2 linked regions of the Danio rerio genome follow. Each later gene encodes a partner of the first gene's protein in a complex. Links are inferred from orthologs where the notes say so. Each region holds a gene or a part of one and is shown on either strand. Other genes may lie near its edges.

Region 1 (4,378 bases):
TTAAATATGAACAGAGATTTACAATAGATGAATGTGCACAGGCTGCTATTAATAATCAGAAATATGCAGATATATACAGTTGAAGTTAGAGTTATTAGCCCCCTGTATTATTAGACCCTGTTTATTTTTTTTCCCAATTTCTGTTTAACAGAGATATTTTTTTCAACACATTTCTAATTATAAACATAATAGTTTAAATAACTAATTTCTAATAACTGATTTATTTTATCTTTGCCATGATCAAGGTAGATAATATTTTACAAGACATTTTTCAAGACACTTCTACACAGCATAAAGTATTATGTTAAATAGGTTTACTAGGCAGGTTAGAATAATTAGGCAAGTTATTGAATAACAATGGTTTGTTCGGTAGACTATTGGAAAAAATATATATAGCCTAAAGGGGCTAATAATATTAACCCCAAAATGTTTCTTTTTAATTAAAAGCTGCTTTTAATCTGGCTGAAATAAAACAAATGAGATTTTCTCTAGAAGAGAAAATATTATCAGACATGCTGTGAAATTTCCCTTGATCTGTTAAACATAATTTTTAAAACATTAAAAAAAAAGAAAATATATATAAAACTCTGATTTAAGCTGTGTGAACAATTACAAACGTATATGTGCAGTGGACATGTACAATTCAAGATGAATTAGTTCAACAAAGTGCAATGAATACGTATAAATATTAAATAGTGCAGTGTTTATGGGGAGTAAGACCGACTGTTTTGCTTTGGGACATCACTGTTGTGAGAAAACTGAATATACACAGTAAACATATAAATATACTGTACATTTCCTGGTTTAATTTATAAATGTTAACTGGTGTTTTAGAGGTGCAAATACTGTATAAAATAAGTCAAAACAACTGGGATTAATTTATATACATGAGATGAATGAAAGTAAACATTTTGGACCTAAAAATAGCTATAATGCCTCCTCTTCTGTTTTGGAGTAAGAAGTGACCAGGAAGTGTTACTAGCAAGTTCTAAAAGGTTTATATTATTTAAATTTTAAATATATTACAGGTTTAACTTTGATTATTATATCTATAAGGGGACATTTGATTAAATGGTTTGACAGCATGCAGTACTAAAACATTTCAAACCAACCTTGACTCTTCACCTCCTGGTGTGTTCGAGACTTCTTCTCGGCTTTAACCTTCGGCATTTTGACAAATAATATCAGCGACAGTGAAAAGTAAGATGTAAATCACAAAAATACTTATACGTTTACAGCACCACAAACACGTGTAGAAGCTACAGGGTTTATTCTGTTTCCTTTCAGCTGATCTGGGAGGAAATTCGGTTGCGGTTGACCTTGCGCTCCCTCTGCCGTTCTGGAGGAGACGTGCAGGAACCGGAAGTGACCTTTCAGTGGGTTTTGCGGGTAGTACATTTTCGCGGCAATCCGAACGTGATGCAAAGACTGCTGAGGAATATGACAGCTGATTTTGACGTTTAATAAAAGGTAATCTTGTCATACAAGTCATTAAAACGTGTTCATTAGGATTGTCTTATTTCGAACTTGCTGTTATGTTGAGTAAAACTGTTTATAAAGCTAAATAAGTGAATTCGCGAGAGCGCCATTGTGTTTACGTTAGTATTTAGTGAGAGACTTAACATTTCTGACTGTTATAAGTCCGTTTTAATAATTGTGTGGTGTGAATGTTTTTGAAAAACCTGTTTTCTTTTTTAGGAGGTTGTTTTTTTACATTTGAACATCAGAGGACAATAACAATGGCTTCAGTCACTGCAGAGGACATCAAGTCTGAGCTGGACACTTTCAACATAGCCTTCAACAATGACACCATCGACAAAAGTAAATGTCCAATCTATTCATTGTGTGTGATTTTAGTATTGTTGACATGATTTAATGCTCTAAAATATATGCATCTCTTAATTTTAAACACACAAATATACATGTATGTGGTTGTGTGTTTGTAGGCAAGTACTTACAAATACACATTGAGGTAAATTTGGTTTTATGTTCACACATTAGGACTTTCTCCTTAATAATAATAACTTCAGAAATTATTTATTGCAAAAAAAAAACTGAAATCATATTAGCAGCAAATGACTATCAAAGTACAACATTGTTTGGAGTCAAATAAATAGTACCAGTGTTGTTTTCAAGTCATGCTTACATGTGATTTTAGACTGAATATTCAAATTACCATGCAGAGTTTTCAACTAACCCAAGTGGTTAAGATATTTTCTTGCTCTGCCAATATTTTTACTGGCCCCACCCAAAAAAAAAATAATTGCTATTTTTTTTAGCCACACATTTTAAAGAATGTGTCAAAAATAATCTAAGATGTATATATTTTTAAAATGTATTGTGAGCAAAATTCAAAGTGTTATGCAAACAAATAGAGCAGTATGGAAAATGTGCCGGTGTTTTATTGCAGCTCTACATTATTTAACAAATGGTGGCTGACTTGCCAAACTGAAAACTAACTGTGCAAACATTACTTCATTTTTTTCGTTGTGTTGTATCCACATCTGCTACTAAGAATTTAGAAACAAACGTTTTCGTTTAGCCTCATAATTTTATGCTACCGCCTCGTCGCTGAGACCAGAAACAAAAAAAACATGCTCACAACATCTAGTCACATAAGAGGACCCGAAAAGCAATATGGTGTTTTTGATATCACAGAGAAGGTAGCATTTAAAGGCTTAACAGCACAAACTGTTTCTCGATTCTAAGACTGTATTTCGACGCAATTGACATTGTCGCAGGCAAATTAAACTTTAGTAAGCACTGGTACGATTGGGCCAGTAACAATCCTGTCTACTGTCCTGAGCATTTCACACGCTGGCCTGGGCCATCTTCTTGTTGAGCCCTGCCACGGTGAACAATAAAGGGAGCATGTCACAAGTTGTCACTGAACGAATGTGCGAAAAACTTTACCTCAATTAAATACACATGACTTTTGTTTTTTTTTCTATTGTAGTGTTGGAGCAGTGTTTTTGTCACAGGCTGACGGGTGAAGAAATTGTATTCGAGTGGTTTGCTTTTAGCTCCACCAGAAAGCAGCTGCCGCTCACTCTCGAAAACCTGGACCAGTTTGAACAAGAAGTTAGTAAAATGACATTAAAAACTCCAACTGAAATTCTGCAGTGCTTTGAGATGCCAAAAATAAGATCCACAATGTTTCTATGCTTCATTTGCTTTAGAGCTAAACAATACAGTATTCCTGTATATCTTTTCAGCATTGATATTGCAATGTGTGAATCCTCAGTCACATTACATAGATATGCAATGTTGAGTTGACTTTGCGGTGTAATTTATTTTTACATTTACATATACAAAACCATAAAGCTTGCACTGTTTATTACACCTTTTTTTGCTTTGTTGCATTTATCTATGCCTGTAGTGTACTACATTTTATGCGATTTACTCCCTTTTAAAATCATCCCAATCAAACAGATATAATACATTTGTTAACACTTTAGGGACCAATTCTCACTATTAACAAATTGCTTATTAGCATGCTTGTTGTTGATATATTGGCTTCTTATTAGTTCTTACAAACAACCACAATAACTATTAATAAGGAGCAAATTAGGTGTTTATTGAAGCAAAAGTCATAAGGGTTTGCTAAGAGTGAGAATTGAACCTTAAAATAGTGTGACCAAAAAACTATTTAGTCATTTGGTGGAACTGTATAGCATCAGTGTATCGCAATGTACATTACAGACAAATAAAATATTGCAATGTCAAATTTTTCTAGGATTGTGCAGCCCTAATTTGCATACTGCTTCTGCACTCCTTACAGGTACTGAACAAGAAGAAAAAGCCTAAAAGCACCTCAAAGGGAAGCCAAATAAACAAAACCAGAGACATCAACTCCATCCAGGAGCTGTATCCTCATAAAGCTCAACATAAAGATTAATGATTGTTTAATTTTTATTCATAAATGTTCAAAGTGATCTTCTTAACTGAGTCTTGCAGAATCAGAGCAGAGGAGGAAGAGGAGAACATGCTGGATTCCTATTCAACACCTGCCAAGGTGAGACTAAATAAAGACAGAATAATGAGGGAGACTTGTTGGAAATGTATGAAGATAGATAAAAATGCATGGTCTGCAAGTGTTTTTCAGTCACAGATTAACCTCCGGTTAAAGGTTACTGTGGCTATTTTAAATTTCATAAGGTTCCTTTTACAGCATTGATGATGTGATGTATTTAAATTATAATCAGTTAAACAGACGTAAGCATTCATTTAGTTGTTCAAGTGTAAAATTGATTGGTTCGCCAGGAGCAGCAGGCTAGTGCAGAAACTTAATTAAAATACTGGGGTAACATAAATTTCCATATTTTAAGACACCGCATGGAACAATGGAATTTAATGCAGTGCTTCTTGTCCAGTCTGA
Region 2 (2,775 bases), on another chromosome or scaffold:
GTAAACCGATGGTTCTGAAGACTATCGAAAAAGAATGGCTAATAATTTTGTCCTTAAAATGGTGTTTAAGAAATGAAAAACTGCTTTTATTCTAGCCGTAATAAAACAAATAAGACTTTCTCCTGAAGAAAAAATATTATCAGGCATACTGTGAAAATTTCTTTGCTCTGTTCAACATAATTTTGGAAATGTTTAAAAAGGAAAATATATATATATATATATATATATATATATATATATATATATATATATATATATATATATATATTTTTTTTTTTTTTTTTTTTTTTTTTTTTTTTTTTTTTTTTTAATTAATTTCTTCATTTTCGCTTTTCATTTTCTGGATTTAGGATTTAATATAAATTTGTTGTCAAAATAATGTAATTACTTATTAAATGTTAAAATTAAATGAAAAAACTAAATGTTTAATGTTTTAACGCTTTGTCAAAATTAAATGTAACCATTCCCTTTATTTCCGATCCATGATTACTCCTTTAAAAGAAAAATCAATAAACGTTTATTTTTATTTTATATATATATATATATATATATATATATATATATATATATATATATATATATATATATATATATATATATATATATATATATAAATTTTTTGTATTATTATTTATGCAATAACAATAATTAGTATTAGTGTAGTGTATAATACATTATATATTTCTATCCGTTTTTATTTTTGGTTAAACTTAAATTAAAGAGTTGTCATGAAAGTGCTTGAGTTGATGATATTAAAGTTTTTCACACATAATTTTGAAGATCAGTCTGGGCAGCTACTGTATAGAGATGAAGTTCCTCTGTTTATATCCTCATATTGAGACTGGAGACACTAGCTATGTTTCCATCCACCTATTATTATCTGCATTTTGGATATGCGCATAAAAAATAGTTGATGGAAATGCCAAGATGCGTATCAATTTTCAAAATGCGCATAAAAATGTTTGCGCATAACTGGATAATTAGCATAAATGTTTTGTTCGATAAGAAGAAATGCGCATAAACTGTGATGGAAACATATTAATTAAACAAACTTCAGTATACGCAAAAAAAAAAGTTATGTGATTTTGTTCTGTGAGATTATATGATGTTAAAATGTGTGAATGGAGAAACCAGCATCTGAGCACACGGTAAAACATCTGAAATGTTGTTTTGGTCACTTTAAAATGCAGTAACTGTATCAGTATTCAGTATTAGTGTTATATTATTAATGACCTCCAGAACTGTCAAGAGCGTCTGTGCCCCGCGTCTCACACCTTCAAATGATACCACATGTTCATTGCATGTCGGCATTGTCTAGTGAGGAGCAAGTCATTTATTAAATAAAGTAAAGATTCATGCAGCTTTTGCTGCAAATTCCGATTTTACTGTTGGTATTTGGCACCAGTTAATCAGGAAGTGACTATTTTGTTGTCTTTGGATGGAAATGCTGCTTTATTGCGATATTCTAGTTTTGCAAATAAATTTAATTAGCATTTTTGGATGGAGCTTCTGTCTTCTGCTTACATTTTGTCTTGTTTGTTTGTTACAGGTTGAGGATGCTGGGTTTTCTCTCAATCATCCAAACCAGTACTTCACAGAGAGCCAGAAGCTTCTGGGTGGAGGCCAAGGCATCAAGAAAGAAGTGGAGATGTCACAAAAAAGCCAAGAAAATCCTCCCAGTGCGTCCCGTCCATCTCAGGCAAACCCTAAACAGGCCCAAGAGGAGATGGGGGATTTAGACTCCTTCTTCCAGGATGAATGATTTTGTAGAACCTAAGGAAAATACAGGGCTCTTACTTGTATTCACTGTTTAAGACACAAACTGTCTTTTCAACATTGAAAAACTTGCATATGTCTGTTTTTACCTTGTCTTTATATTGATAAGATTCTTCTCAAATGACATGTTTTTACCAAAAAAAAAAAAAAGAATAAATAAAAGCACATTAAAATTACATAACATTACTTAAGTTTTATTTTTTGTTACAAAGTACTGAAATCTAAAAAAACCAGGACACACCAAGTTAAAGGTCACCCATTGGGCCTTTCTAAAAATATAAAACAGTATACTGTTATTCATCAAGAATCCATTAAATTGGTCAAAACAACTGTAAAAACATAGTTTCACAGAAATGATTGGAAGTAAAATGAGGCTGTAACACGCCAACACTGCTGAGATGAATATATAAGTATATGTGCTGTTCTCTTTCTTCTGAGTAATCAAATAAACACAAGAAAAATGACAGCAGTGAGAAATGGGTTTGAAAATGAACATTGCAATATTGGTTCAATCAAAAAGGTGCTATTGAACTCATAATTGTGTCTTTCCAACTCATTAATCTTCCCAGTGGAACTTGAATAGCAATGGCTGCTGAAAATGTAGGAATATGGCTGTGTTTAAATGAAAATATCTCATAGTTTCACTCACAGTACTAAAAGGTTTTGTTCAACAAAAATGGCAATAGTTGAATCACTCTCGTGTTGTTCTAAACCCCTAGACCTTCATTCTACTTTGAAATGCAGATTAAGATGTTCTAGATTAGGGGTGCCCAAACTCTGTCCTGGAGGGCCGGGGATAATTTTTGTGCGCACATAAGACGAAAATAATGACTTTAAGTATGGTGAGAATAAATAAATAACAGCTTCTAAAATTGTCTGAGAGGCATCCCCTTTTTGCCCATAGGCCTACCTTGTGTTTCATTTGCTAATTTAATCTATTTTTTAAAAGATAAATGTAATATATAAAACTATACATTATTCGTATTACTTCATATTACC

What was found.
Region 2: pola2 (region 1) and prim2 share a complex: the UniProt entries of both Homo sapiens proteins name them as parts of the alpha DNA polymerase complex. The link is inferred for Danio rerio from reciprocal best matches to the Homo sapiens genes POLA2 and PRIM2.

Annotation. Positions count from the first base shown.
Region 1 is NC_133183.1:19,039,762-19,044,139, reverse strand, and holds the start of pola2 (DNA polymerase alpha subunit B), read left to right. Parts: upstream 1-1,370; 5' UTR 1,371-1,470; intron 1,471-1,698; 5' UTR 1,699-1,739; coding exon 1,740-1,821; intron 1,822-2,956; coding exon 2,957-3,081; intron 3,082-3,781; coding exon 3,782-3,867; intron 3,868-3,957; coding exon 3,958-4,015; intron 4,016-4,378. Other genes in the region: dimt1l (dimethyladenosine transferase), read right to left, coding at 1,113-1,170. UniProt on the Homo sapiens protein: Accessory subunit of the DNA polymerase alpha complex (also known as the alpha DNA polymerase-primase complex) which plays an essential role in the initiation of DNA synthesis.
Region 2 is NC_133188.1:26,670,246-26,673,020, reverse strand, and holds the end of prim2 (DNA primase large subunit), read left to right. Parts: intron 1-1,549; coding exon 1,550-1,762; 3' UTR 1,763-1,949; downstream 1,950-2,775. UniProt on the Homo sapiens protein: Regulatory subunit of the DNA primase complex and component of the DNA polymerase alpha complex (also known as the alpha DNA polymerase-primase complex) which play an essential role in the initiation of DNA synthesis.